Linked DNA regions of Stegostoma tigrinum. The protein of the gene in region 1 purifies or fractionates together with the protein of each later gene. This does not show direct contact. Links are inferred from orthologs where the notes say so. Each region holds a gene or a part of one and is shown in the gene's direction. Other genes may lie near its edges.

Region 1 (7,727 bases):
GGGTGAGAGGAAGAACGGGTTAGGGAGGCAGAGACAGGTTGGACTGGTTTTGGGATGCAGTGGGTGGAGGGGAAGAGCTGGGCTGGTTGTGTGGTGCAGTGGGGGGAGGTGACGAACTGGGCTGGTTTTGGGATGCGGAGGGGGAAGGGGAGATTTTGAACCTGGTGTAGTCCACATTGATACCATTGGGCTGCAGGGTTCCCAAGCGGAATATGAGTTGCTGTTCCTGCACCCATCTCCAGCATATCCCTCACCTTCCTGGACCTCTCAGTCTCCATCTCAGGCAACCAGCTTATAACTGATGTCCATTTCAAGCCCACCGACTCCCACAGCTACCTAGAAAACACCTCCTCCCACCCACCCTCCTGCAAAAATTCCATCCCCTATTCCCAATTCCTCCGCCCCCGCCGCATCTGCTCCCACGATGAGGCATTCCACTCCCGCACATCCCAGATGTCCAAGTTCTTCAAGGACCGCAACCTTCCCCCCATGGTGGTCGAGAACGCCCTTGACCGCGTCTCCCGTATTTCCCGCAACACATCCCTCACACCCCGCCCCCGCCACAATCGCCCAAAGAGGATCCCCCTTGTTCTCACACACCACCCCACCAACCTCCGGATACAACGCATCATCCTCCAACACTTCCACCATCTACAATCCGACCCCACCACCCAAGACATTTTTCCATCCCCACCCTTGTCTGCTTTCCAGAGAGACCACTCTCTCCGTGACTCCCTTGTTCGCTCCACACTGCCCTCCAACCCCACCACACCTGGCATCTTCCCCTGCAACCGCACAAAATGCTACACTTGCCCCGACACCTCCTCCCTCACCCCTATCCCAGGCCCCAAGATGACTTTCCATATTAAGCAGAGTTTCACCTGCACATCTGCCAATGTGGTATACTGCATTCACTGTACCTGGTGTGGCTTCCTCTACATTGGGGACACCAAGCGGAGGCTTGGGGATCGCTTTGCAGAACACCTCCGCTCGGTTCGCAATAAACAACAGCACCTCCCAGTCGCAAACCATTTCCACTCCCCCTCCCATTCTTTAGATGACATGTCCATCATGGGCCTCCTGCAGTGCCACAATGATGCCACCCGAAGGTTGCAGGAACAGCAACTCATATTCCGCTTGGGAACCCTGCAGCCCAATGGTATCAATGTGGACTTCACCAGCTTCAAAATCTCCCCTTCCCCCTCCGCATCACAAAACCAGCCCAGTTCGTCCCCTCCCCCACTGCACCACACAACCAGCCCAGCTCTTCCCCTCCACCCACTGCATCCCAAAACCACTCCAACCTGTCTCTGCCTCCCTAACCTGTTCTTCCTCTCACCCATCCCTTCCTCCCACCCCAAGCCCCACCTCCATCTCCTACCTACTAACGTCATCCCACCTCCTTGACCTGTCCGTCTTCCCTGGACTGACCTATCCCCTCCCTACCTCCCCACCTATACTCTCCTCTCCACCTATCTTCTTTTCTCTCCATCTTTGGTCCGCCTCCCCCTCTCTCCTTATTTATTCCAGAACCCTCACCCCATCCCCCTCTCTGATGAAGGGTCTAGGCCCGAAACGTCAGCTTTTGTGCTCCTGAGATGCTGCTGGGCCTGCTGTGTTCATCCAGCCTCACATTTTATTATCTTGTAACACTGTGACATCTGTTTCCAACTTGTCGCTCTCAAACTGCAGGGTGAATTCTGTCATATTGTGGTCAATACGTCCCAGGCAATCCTTCACCTTAAGCTCTCTAATTAAGTCTGCCTCATTACACATCACCAAATTCAGAACTGATTGTTCCCTAATGGACTCTAAATCAAACTGCTCCAAAAAAACACTTGTAGACATCCCACAGATTCCTTGAGTTCTGCTACCAACATAATTTTTCTAGTCCACCTGCATATTGAAGTTCCCCATGATTTTATTCATAGAAAAGGTATGTAAAAAAGACACTATCTCTTGATTCATTTTCTGACCCATAACCTGACCATTGCTCAGCTACATAACTCCCAACAGGATCTTCCTTCCTTTGCAGTTGCTCAACTCTAACCACACAGATTCAATGCTTTCCAACCCTATATCATTTCTTGCTATCAATTTAATAAGCTCTATCCTCTCTGACCATCTGCTTGGCTTTGCGATAGGATGCCTATCTCCTCGGGTATTCATTTCCCTGCACTGGATCGCTTGGAGCCACATCTCTGTGATGCCCGAAACATCATACTCACCAATTTCAATATGTGCTACAGGCTCATTTATAGTGTTTCTTATACTGCACACATTTAACTAGAACACCCTCAATCCTGTACTGACCTTTGTGACCATACTTGAGTAAAAAAAAATCAGAAAGTTACGTCCAATGCCTCTGAAATTTCCACTCTCACTTCCTTTAGTACTCTTGGATGTTTGTCATTCTATCCTGGTGCTTTATCAACTTTTAAGTACAGAATTCGATTCCAATACCTTCTTATCAGTCTCCTCCTTAAAGCCTTCAAGTGTAAGGACTACCTGTTCTTTCACCACGACATGGGCACCTTTATTGTCATTGGTAATGGAGATGCATAGTTATCTTCTATTACCTCAACCACACACTCTTCTATGCATAAATCCCATTTTCAAAAATGTATAATTTCATTGGATTTGGGCAATACCAGCCAGGCCAACATTTGTTGTCTATTCTTAATTGCCATTGAATGCAGCATGCTAGGCCTATACAGAAGGAAGACAGTCAACCACTTTGCTGTGGATCTAGAGTCACATGTAGGCTAGGCTGAGTAAAAATGGTTCCTTCTCTAAAGAAAGTTAGTGAATGAAATGGATTCTTCCAAAAATTAATGATCGTTTCCTGATCACTGTGTGGCGGAGGTGATGGCCAAATGGTATTATCACTGGACTGTTAATCCAGAGAGCTAGCTAGTGTTCTGGGGACCTGGGTTTGAACCCCACCATGGTAGACGGTGGATCGTTAATTTGATGTAAATCTGGAATTAAGCGTATAATGATGACCCTGAATCCATTGGTGTTTGTTGGAATAAAGCCATCTAGTTCACTAATTTCCTTCAGGAAAGGAAACTGCCATCCTTACATGGTTTGGCCCACATGTATCTCATAACAATGTGGTAATTCTTGGCTGACCTCTGGGCAAATTAGGGATAGGCAATTAATGCTGGCCTAGTCAGCAATGCTCTCATTCTGTGATTGCATTTTAAAAAATTACTAGTTAGACTAGTTTCATATTGCAGATTTTTTAATTGAAAGACTTTTGGGTTCCATTTTATATATTTACTTAATTCCTTCTCTCTGAACCTTCTATATTCTGTGTGGTTCTCCATCATATTATTCACCTGTCATCTATCGTAAGTCTTTGTCTTCTTATTTACTCTTATATCAGTTTTGTCTCTCTGGATTAGTTTGTCCTACCTTTTCCCTTCATATGACTATACCTTGATTGCATTGCTACATTGGCTTCATGGCTCTGAGTGGAGAGAATGCACTATAGAACATTCATTGATCCTCTAAACTTTTGTTTAAATTTTAAAAAGGTAATATTGTGACCAATCAGTATCTTTTTCTTATGCAGTATAAATTGTTATTCCCTTTGAAATTTGGCATTCTTGTATCTGTCCTGAAGACTGCATGGCAAAAAGCTTTGACAATACCTTTCTTTCAAGCAATACGCAAGCTATAAACGAATCGTGAACTACCAGTCTTTTGTGCTGTAATGTTCAGCCAATACTTCCTAACTGCACTACGCAAATGACATAGTAAGTAATATAGCCATAGTTCCAGAGGACCAGTCTTTCATTTAGATGGCGCTTTAACTTCAGGTCACCACACCTCAGGCAAAGGTTGAGATTGAAAGGTGTTAACCTCAGCTGGTGCAGGAACCTGGTCTGTTGGAGTCATTCTGCATTATAAACCAGCCATCCAGCCAGCACAGCCCAACTCCTGTAATTAGCAGATAGATGAGGTCATTGCACTATATATATACAGAATGCCAAAAGACATGGATAACGTGGACATGGAGAAGATGTCTCCACTAGCCGGAGTGTCTAAGACCTGACGGCACAGCTTCAGAGTTAAGGTATGAACGACCCTTTAGAACTTAGATGAAGAGGAACTTCTTCAGCCAGAGGGTGGTGAATCTGTGAAACTTATTGCCGCAGAAGGCTGTGGAGGCCAAGTCAGGAAGTGTATTTAAGGCAGAGATAGATTGGTGTAAACAACAAACCAAAAGAACTGTGAATGCCGGCAATCAGAAACAAAAACAGAAAATGCTGGAAAATCTCAGCTGGTCTGGTAGCATCATGAAGATAAATCAGAGTTAAGGTTTCAGCTCCAATGACCCTTCAGAGCCGAAGTGGCAAGGAGATCAGCGAGAAGGCAGGAGAATGGGGCTAAGAAACATATCAACCACGATCTACTAGCGCAGCAGACTTCATGGGCCAAATGGCCTAATTCTGCGGGGATGCTGCCGCGTAACTGCAACGACGCTGCGTGAACGCGCCTGCGCGTTACCGCGATGGCCGTCCTCGCTCCTTGAGCGGCTTGGAACAGAGGCCACCGCTTGAGAGAAAATCTGTTTGCTTCAGGCCAACAGATTGCGTTTTTACTCCGGCCATTCATCGAGGGAGCAAAAAAAAAATCTGACCGTACGGAGTGAAGTATTCGTGGTCCGTTTCGCTGTCCTTGACAAAAGTGTGAGGTTGTAGTGAGAGAGACAGAGAGAGGCGGATGGCTCAGAAAATTAACGAGGCGTTGGAACATATAGCCGCAGCTGAGAAATGGTAAACAAGCCAACGGCTGAAGTTGATTTTTTTTTCTCCTTCCCATTTTTTTGAGGCAGTCACTTTTGTTTTAGGTGCGTTGGCAGAGCTAATGCCAATGGTTTCTAACGCTTCGTTTTAACTGAAACAGCTCGCGACCGTCGGCTCACCTGACTCCGACAGAGGCATTCTGGGAGCTGTAGTTCCTTAACCTTTGGCAGTTACTGTTAACATCTGATGGTGCACTATGATTCCCAGGGTTCTTTGTGAAGCGTACGTTTCCTGGTTTTTCCCCTTCAATAAGATCAGTGCAAATGAAGCCAAATTCGCTTGTTCTCTTCCCAGAAAACTAATACCTGTCCAGATTCCTATACCTTGCAGTCGCCTCTTGGACGTATTGTCCCATGACACTCGCTGGCGTTACCATGTCTGAATCCTCCATACCAGCATATTTTGGGTGCGGGGTGGATACGATTGACTAAAAAGTGCACTGGACTATCCGTGCAAACGTCGAGAATGCTGCACAAACTCAGCAGGCCCGGCAGCTTGTGTGGAGGGAGCAGCAAATTTTTGTTTTGCGATTGGTGTGACTTCTCATTTTTTCTGAAAAATTAAAATGATAATCCCATTGAAGAGTAGAGTGGAACTTTTTCCAGGATGGGCATGCCTGGAAGTGAAATGGCAGTGTGAATTAAGTAGTCGGATATCATGAAGCAGAGTTTCTGTCAGACCTGCTGATTTGTCTCTGACACACTGTCTCAAATTTCCAGCATCCACAATGTTTGTTTTTCAAGTACTGCATGCCTACAACAGCAGGCTAGAAGTCCTGCAGTAAGTAATTCACCTCATGACTCCCCAAAACCTGTCCACCATCAATAAGGCCCAAGTATGATAGACTGGCCTGGATGCACAGAATTAACAATGGTTAAGAAGCTTCACACAGTAGCCTGCTTTGCTACTCACAAATGTATCACTCTATGTGTATCTATATGAACTTCAATAAGGTGTTTCACAAGGTTCCTCATGGTGGATTGGTTAGTAAGGTAAGATCACATGGAATAGAGGGAGAACTAGCCATTTAGGTACACAACTGGCTCAAAGGTAGAAGACAGAGGGTGGTAGTAGAGAGTTGCTTTTCAGATTGGAGACAATGGTATGCCACAAGGACCTGTGCTGGACCTACTGTTTTTTGTCATTTGTCAAAATGATTTGGAAAGAACAGAGGAGGTATGGTTAGGAAGTTTGCAGTTGACACCAAAATTGGAGTGTAGTGGATAGCGAAGAGGGTTACGTCAAAGTACAGTGGGATCTGGATCAGATTGACCAATGGGCCAAGAGTGCTCGATGGAGTTCAGTTTAGGTAAGTGTGAGGTGCTCCATTTTGATAGGGAAAATCAGGGCAGGACTCGTTACACTTAATGGTATGGTCCTAAGGAGTGTTGCTGAATTAAAGAGACCTTGGAGTGCAGAATCACCGTTCATTTAAAGCGGAGTCGTAGGTAGACAGGGTGGTGAAAAAGACGTTTGATGTGCTTGCCTTTATTGGTCAGTGCATTGAGTACAGGAATTGAGAGGTCATTTACGGGACATTGGTTAGGCCACTTCTGAAACATTGCATGCAATTCTAGGGTTCCTGCTATAGGGAAGATGATGTGAAACTTGATTGGATTCAGAAAAGATTTACAAGGATGCTGCTAGGGTTTGAGGCTTGAGCTATAGGGAAAGGCTGAATAGGTTAAGGCAATTTTCCTTGGAGCGTTGGAGGCTTATAGAGGTTTATAAAATCATGAGGGGCGTGGATAGGACAAATAGACAAAGTCTTTTCCCTGGGGGTGGGGGAGTCCAAAACTAGAAGGCACATGTTTAAGGTGAGAGCACCTTAGGCAGCACCTTCCAAATCTACCCCTGCCGTCATTTAGAAAGGTAAAGGCACTAGATGCATAGGAACACCACCACCGACCAGTTTCTCTCTAAGTCATTCACCATCCTTACTGAGAATATATTGCTGTTCCATCAATGCTCTTAGATCTATCACCTTCTCGAGGATAATTAAATATGGGCAATAATTGCTGGCCTAGCCAGAAAATCCACATCTCATGAACCAATTAAAAAATAGAACTGGCATGGTTGCATTGCAAATATCCCTAATGCTGTCAGGCTTTTGACATCTCGTGATGTCCATCCTGTGTGGTATGAACTTACTGAGTTCAGTTCTTCAGTTAATCCTGTATAATTTTAAACAAGGCTTCCACGGTACAAATAAATTGTATTCTGCTCTGTTTTTATATGGTTTTATTACTTGCTAGGATAAAGAACTGTAGCTAGATAGGTTGTAGAAGCTGGGGCTATTCTTGGAGGAAAGATTGAGTTGATTGATGCAAAATCACGAGGGGTTTGTAGGTAAGGGAAAAGGTGGTGGAAAGATCGAGAACTAAGGGACACTGTTTTATGGGGATTGGCAAAAGAAGCAAGGATTACATTGGGAAATCCTTTTTATTCTGCACATAGAACATAGAACATTACAGCACAGTACAGGCCCTTCGGCCCCCGATGTTGTGCCGACCTGTTATACCGATCTGAAGCCCATCTAACCTACACTATTCCATGTACGTCCATTTGCTCATCCAGTGACGACTTAAATGTACCTAAAGTTGGCGAATGGTTAGGATTTGGAATGCTGTGCCCATGTATAATAGCCTTTCAAAAGTGAATTGCATAATTATCTGAAGGGGCTAGTTGAGTTGTTCATCCAGAGAGCTGGCACAGACAGGCTTCTGTGCTGTATATATTCCATGATTCTTAATCTGTGTGGAAATTGCGTCTAAAAAGGACAATTAATCATTCAGTTATCAGGGAATGTTAGCTTCATGGCTCTTAGCAATTTTCACAAAAATCATGTAAGTTATATGATCTGGAAGGCAGCCACTGGGCCCAAACTACCTGCACCTGTTCTAACAAATG
Region 2 (7,626 bases), on another chromosome or scaffold:
AGGAAATTACTACACATCAAAATGTTGTGATACCAAACAGGAACACTGGTGTAAGGGGTATTGTATTAGCATAAGTTAAGGGACTGGTTAATAAACAGGAAGCAGAGGAAAACTTCTTCAGCTTCTCAGACTGTAACTAGTAGGGTGCCACAGGGATCACTATTGGGAATCAACTACTTGCAATCTATTTTAATGAAATAAATACAGGAGCTAAAAGCGCATTAACTACATTTCCTGGTTTGCCTCCATATATAGGAACTTAACCTGTCAAGTGGAGGTAGAGAATCTACAAAGAGATTTAAATAGGTTAAGTGAATGGACAAGTAATTGGCACATAGATTATAATGTTGGAAAATGTGAACTTGTCCATTTTCACAGGGAGGATGAAACAATAGTACAATTTAAAAGGAGAAAGATTGCAGAATTGTGAGGTACAGAAAGTCTAGCTGTGCTGGTACATGAATCACTGAACATTAGCATGCAGGTACAACAAATTATTTAGAAGGCAAATAGAATGTTAGTATTCATGGCAAAAAAAATATGAAATACAGATATTTTCCCACCAACGTTGTTATGGCCCAAAGACCACCAGATCAAATCAGCTTCTCAATCCCTTCATTCATAACACAGTAAAATTAAAGTATTTAATGACCCTCAGAATTGACCCCAATCATTCCTAACGAGGCATTTTGAATAACCAGTATCAGATTTTTTAAAAATATCCAATATGATACAACAGGTTTGGAGCTTAAACAAAAAATTAATAATTTATTAATAATACAGTTGCTTTGACAGAGCAAAACTAAACAAGATAACCTGATTGAAGCCTATGATTTAAACCTAATCCTCTTTGATTCTAGCCCCAACTCACACAAAGTTAGACAGACAAACAGATGCAGTTAAGGATAAATAGAAAGAACAAAACAATGAGATGCAACTGATCAGTTCACTGAAGCAATCTCCACAATCTGTAGTTTCACAGGCACGTGGATTTGTACCTTGCTTGGTTTCTGAAGATATAGCTTCCAGTAGAGTCCAAAAATATTCACAAAACACTTATAAGTGAGATTCTATTCTCTAAACTTGCAATAAACTGATAATGGAAGGACAATGAGGGAACAAAAGAATGAAACCTTCAGCCTGCAACTGCCACAACCACAATCCTTCCAACTTAAACACAGTTCAAAACCAGTTCGAACTTTGGATTCTCTGTTAGGATGGCTGGCTCTGGATGACACCCAAGTACAACATGTGTCATCTAATTGAATGTTAGGCATCTCCAGAACTGAAACTTCCAGAGTGTTCTTTGAACAAGAGACAATTCACAAACAAAAAAGAAGTTCTCAACATCATATAAAGTTTTGGTGAGACATCATCTCCAATAATGTGTCCATCTTTGGTTTTATGATTTGAAAAAAAGATATAAGTGAGTAAGAGATAACAGGGTGTAGAGCTGGATGAACACAGCAGGCCAAGCACCATCAGAGGAGCAGGAAAGCTGATGTTTTGGGCCTAGACTCTTCTTCAGAAATAGAATCAGCTGAGAGAAAGTTCTCCTTCCTCATCCATAGAATGAGGGACTAATGTAAGAGTCAAAGATGGATAGGCTAGGCCTGGACTAACTTCAGTTTTGAAGAATGAGGTGGTAATTGTTAGAAATTCAGGTCATGTTAAGGGTAAACCAGAACAGCTCTTGAGTCAACTGACAGCAGGTTATGCTCATTGTTTGTTGTATTGGTTTTGTAGTAATATGGATGATTTGGTGGTAGATCAATCAAAAGAAAGAGATCTGTGTTCTTGTTACACATGGTATTGTCCCTACTTCTAGGTTAGAAAGTCTGGGTTCAACTCCCACTTGCTCCATCGGTGTGTTGTGGAACGTCTGAACAGCCTGATTGAAATACCAAGACCTGGGTTCATGGTGGTTTGATGGTGGAAAACAGTGTTCAGAGGTGTGTAATAGTATCTCTGATCAACATTTAAAAGAAGACTTGGGTTCACCTCAGCCTGGTTGAAGTCTCATCTACTCTCGAGTTGTGTCATACCATCTCTGAACAGGTTGATGAAACAAAGAGTAAAAGTGTTGAGCTCATCCAGGTTCATTTTAATTGATCATCTTCCTCTTTCCTTACTGTTTTTGTGGCACTTCCCCAGTGAGCAGTACTTATAATTCAATAATTTGCTTAGTGACATGGGAGGCTTGGTGGTTGGTCTGTGAAAGAAAAAGCTGCGTCCTATATTCTGCCTCTCTTCTGGGGCTAGACCCATGTCCCGGTGTCCTTGGAGAGGAAGCATGCGATGTCCGCCAGCACCCTCGAAGCTTTTAGAGAAAGGTGGGCATGGCCGGGGCTGAAGCATACGATCTTTCTATCCAGTACTATTTTTATTTAGCCCTCTCCCTTGTTTCCCCAAAATTTTGGTTTATTTCTTATTTTTGCACTGTCCCTGGTGGGCAGTGCTTGTAATTTATTATTTATTCAATTTGCTAATTGGGGGACTTGGTGGTGGTTATTTAAAAAAAAAGAGCTGAGTTCTTGAAGTTCTTGTGGTGCAGTGGTAATGTCCCCACTACTGGATCAAGAGGCCTGAATTCAAGTCCCACTTACTCCAAAGATGTATCATAATAGACTATAATGTTGGAAAATGTAAATAACAAAGAACTGTGCTCTATTGTTCAGTTCTCATCCTTCCCGAGTATTATTACAGAGAGTCTGCACCCAGTATCTACTTGTATCCTTGAATCTTTCAAAGAGAAGTGGGCATTAAAAAAGTTGGAGTGCATTTTCTCCTTTCAACACTACTTTCATCTACTCCCCTCCTTTGTTTGACGATCTTTCTCTTGATAACCTCCATGAGTTCTATCTGTGACCTGATCTCCAAGCCTCCCGAGAAGTGCAGCACCTCCTTTCTGCCCCAGACAGCCTGGAGCAGAGACTCCAATGAGGCACCATTAAAATCTGCACATCCCTGCGGACAGGTGGGATAATGCCACAGACTGCAGTGATGTTCTTGGCTTACAATGAGTGAACAGACACACAAATGGAACCAAAATCTTCAACTTCAGAAGGTATTAATGGGGTGAAAACATCTGTCCACCACCCACAGATGACATACTATTTAAGTTACTATAGAACTTGCTTGTATATGAAATAGCTGAAGAATGGATTATGGTACAAGAAAATTCAACATGGACCAATGCAGATATCATGCCATCTCAGATGCTTTCTGTAATACCTTATTCTAACTAGTGGTGGCTGTATATTGATGGGTGAATACTAAAGTTATTGTATCAGTGCTGATAGAGGAATATTGATGGGCAGATGTTGATAGGTGAACATGAGCAGTGGATGTTGATCATAGATTCCCTTGGGAGTGGAAGCAGGCCATTCAGCTCATTGAGTCCACATAGCCCATCTAAAGACCATCTCACCCAGATCCTTAACTAATCCCTGCATTTTCCCATGGCTAATCTACCAAATCTACACATCCCTGGATACAATAGATAACTTAGCATGGCCAATCCACCTAACCTGTGCATCTCTGGACTGTGGGAGCAAACCAGAGCACCCGGAGAAAACCTATGCTAACCTGAGCTGAGGCTGGAATTGAACGCAGGTCCTTGGTGCTCAGTGCTGACCACTGAGTCACTGTGCTGCCCCTGTTGATGGTTGAGCACTGACACATGGATATCGATGCGTGTACATGGACAGTAGATGTCAATGGGTGAACATTGACATTTGGATGTTAATGGATGAACATGGACAGTAGATGTTGATGGTGATGATTGAAAAATGGATGTTGATGGGTGAACATGAACAGTGGATGTGGATGCTGAACATTGACATTTGGATGTTGGTGGGTGAATATGGACAGTAGATGTTGATGGAGGAACTTGAACAGTGGGTGTTGATGATGAACATTGGAAAGTGGATGTCAATGGGTGGGCGATGGACAGATGGATGTTGATGTGTGAACATTGACAGATAGATGTTGATGGGTGAACATGGGCAAATGGATGTCGATGGATGAACATGGATGGCAGATATTGATGGGTGAACATGGGCAGGTAGCTGTTGATTGATGTACATTGCCAGCGGATGTTGAGGGGTGCACGTGGACACTGGATGTTGATAGAGGAACATGAACAGCGGATGTTGATGGTGAGCATTGAAAAATGGATGTTGATGGGTGATCATTGATAGATGGATTTTGATGGGTGAACATGGACAGTGGATGTTGATGGGTGAACTTGGACAGAAGGATGTTCATGGATGAACATGTTTACGATTCCACACGATTTATTCCAACTTAGCAACGTCCTGCGTGCTGAGGTCGTGGCGCAGCGTGCTGACGCATGGCCCGGATGTTATAAAGCAGCGTTGTGGGTGTGGGGGAGGGGAAAGGCGGCGCGAGTGGTTGTGTTCGGCAGACACGTTTGAAGCAACCGGCAACCGGCAACCGGCAACCTTGCTCGGTCAGCCCAACCGACAGCCATAATGGCGACCCGGGTAAGTCCCGATCAATGACGAGAGGAGGGGGAAGCTGCTGTTGCTCCTGAATTCGGATACCAGCGGTTAGCTGGGTAACTGCAGCTTGATGTCCCCTGTGCCTCCTCTGATTCCACCTGCACCCTTGTTGCTCCTCTGCTCTCTTTTCACCGTGGTGTGGCTTTCCCCCTCTGATGAGCGCCCCCGTGCCCATCTGATGAGTTCCCCCATGCCCCCCGTCTGATTCCTCCATGCTCCCTCGTGCCTCGGCCCCCTCTGATGAGAACCCACGCATACCCCTCTGTGATTTCCTCCAAGCTCCCTTGTTGTGCCTCTGCCTGCTCTGATGTGTCCCCCATGCCCTCTCTGCATCCAACTCCTCCCAAGCCCCATTAGATCTGCTTCTCTTCCCTGGCCTCTTCTGATGCCTTCACATTTCCCTTTTTTGTTGCTGCCACTTGCCCTGGAAGAAGAACGTATGAGAGTGAGATAGTTTTTGCAAGGAGGAGAGTTAAGTGCAGTGTTAAAGTTGAACTGCCTGTTGGCTCCTTTTTTTAATTGCACATACATTGCTGCAGAATGCTTGTCATTGCTGAAAGTTGAGAGATCAGCACAAACCCCCTTAGTTGCTTGATTATGTTTGGCATTTTGTTGCACTGCACCAATTTGGCATTACTGGAAGGCTTCCTAAGATTGTGAAGCATTATTCAAATTATGTTCATATTTAAGTTTAGTAAAGTGAAATTTACTAATTTCTGATAATCTAGAAACTGTTAAATCCCAAATGATATTTAGATGCCTTCAAAGATCAGTCGAGAGTGGCAATTTGTATTGGAGTGACGTATTTTGTATTTGAAGAACTGATGATGCTGGTAACCATGTGACAATTGTGGCTTCTTGTGGATCAAATTTAGCTAATAAATTTGGCTGATTTATAGACTGCAGTTGTCTTTGGATTTTTTGCCAAATAATTTGATGCATCTTGATATCTAGTGATGATGTACATGTGAAATTTTGAGTGGGGAGAGTTGTCTTGCTTTTTGTTCATTTTGACATAAACCATTCCATATCCCTCAGGATACCTCTTCCTTCGCTTTTATTCTGGTCTTTTCATTCAAATGGCCATTCAAAACATACCTATTCTTGCAGGTATGAAAATGTAATTAAATTGCCCATGTTTTCACATCAGTGAATTACAAATATGGAATTCAGAGAAATGATAAAGGGAAATGCCGGATGCAGAAAATGGTAAAAGTTTGCATCATCTATCACAGGAGTGGTTTGAGGCAAGAACTCTTGCGGAAATGTCCTTATGGTTGTTTGAGAAATCTGCAAATATTAAAAGGAAATGCTTGTATTGATAGTGACCATAAAGATATTGGATTTTTGTGCAAACCCAACTGGTTTAATTGTGTCCACTGGAAAAGGAAATCTTGTCAAGTTAGAGCAAATCTGACTTCCATGCCTGATTTGATATGACTGGCTCTCAGCTGTCCTCTGAAGTGGCCTGGCCATCTTCTCAGAACAGCCCTAAAAGTGTAATAAATGCTGAATTTGCTAGTGATAGCCCATTTCACCCCCTACTAATTTTCAGTTACTGAGCAACCTGTAATACATTTGTAATTTCATAACATCTCGTATTTGTAACATTATATAGGTAATTTTGAGTAAAATGTATTGTTATACTTTATACCTAATTTACTATGTGTTTAGCATCCACACGATAGAATTGGTTTTAAATGTGTTAAATTGTGGCACCTTCTGTACAAATCAGGCATGCTGTACACATAATTTGTTGTGATCTAATAATGTAATTTTTTTTGTTTGTTTAACAAACATGACAGTCATACTTTCTTCTGCAAATCTGACCGTTTTGATAACTTGCCTTAATTGCATGTTGGCAATAGCTGACATTGTCCTTGAAAAAGAAAGTAATTTTGATTTAGGATGATAAAATGTAGGAACGGAAGTAGGCCTCTCAGTTCACTGAGTCTTCTCCAACATTAAATGAGAATCATAAGTGATCCGATAATCCTCAACGCCTTTTTCACATGGTCCTTGATTCCTTTCCTTATTAAGCATTTGTCTGTCTCAGCATAGAATATATTTAATGTCTTAGCCTCATAGGGTTGATGAGTTCAATTCAGGTCTCGCTGCTAAAGGAAAGAGATTGTGGAACTTGAAAGTGTGCAGAGAAGATTTATAAGAATGTTGCCAGGGTTGGAGTGTTTGAGATATAGGAAGAGGTTGAAGGGGAGGGTCACACGACCCAAAACGTTAACTCTGATTTTTATTTTTCTTCACAGATGCTGCCAGACCTGCTGACCAATTCCAGCAATTTCTGTTTTTGTTCTTGAGTAGACTGGGGCTATTTCTCTAGAGTGTCGGAGGTTGAGGGGTGACCTTTTCGGGGCTTATAAAATCATGAGGGGCATTGATAGGTTGAGTAGCTGCAGTTTTTTCTCCAGGGTAGAGGAGTCCAAAACTAGAGGGCATAGGTTTAAGGTGAGAGAAGAAAGACTTAAAATGGGCCTGAGGGGTAATTTTTTCATGCAGAAGGTGGTGAGTGTATGGAATGAGCTGCCAGAGGCTGGTACGATTACAACACTTAAAAGGCAGCTGGATGGGTATATGAATAGGAGGGATATGTACCAAATGTTGGAAAATCGGACTAGATTAACATAGAATATCTGGTCAGCATGGACAAGTTGGACCGGGGAGCCTCTTTCTGTGTTGTGCATCTTTGACAAAACCTCTCTATCCCTCTGAGGTAAAGAATTTCAAAGATGCTGTATTCTGTTGAAGTGAAAAAAATTCTCCTAACCTCTGTCCTAATTATTATTGCCTCTTTTTCTTAGTTAACTTGCTGGTGGTAGTATTCTCATAGAATTGCTGCCCTTGTGTTTCTAGGTAGTGGAAATAATGAGTGTGCAAGGTTTTGTTGCAAAAGCCCTGGTGAGTGGCTATGGTGCATGTTATAACATTGTACACTATTGCTGTTGTGCTGAGGTGTTGGAGGGAATGAATGTTTAACATGGTGGTTAGAATTTCAGTAATATGGATTGCTTTGAAGTTGAGGTAACTGCTGTATGGTGTTCTCTGGATTTCCTTTTGAAGCCTCTACTACTACATTGTCAAC

What was found.
Region 2: the proteins of napgb (region 1) and vesicle-fusing ATPase purify together in Homo sapiens (affinity purification with mass spectrometry; 3 studies listed by BioGRID and IntAct, with this or other methods). This does not show direct contact. The link is inferred for Stegostoma tigrinum from reciprocal best matches to the Homo sapiens genes NAPG and NSF.

The regions. Positions count from the first base shown.
Region 1 is NC_081358.1:115,585,252-115,592,978, forward strand, and holds the start of napgb (N-ethylmaleimide-sensitive factor attachment protein, gamma b), read left to right. Parts: upstream 1-4,494; 5' UTR 4,495-4,734; coding exon 4,735-4,787; intron 4,788-7,727. UniProt on the Homo sapiens protein: Required for vesicular transport between the endoplasmic reticulum and the Golgi apparatus.
Region 2 is NC_081384.1:33,756,254-33,763,879, forward strand, and holds the start of vesicle-fusing ATPase, read left to right. Parts: upstream 1-4,387; 5' UTR 4,388-4,496; coding exon 4,497-4,508; intron 4,509-7,626.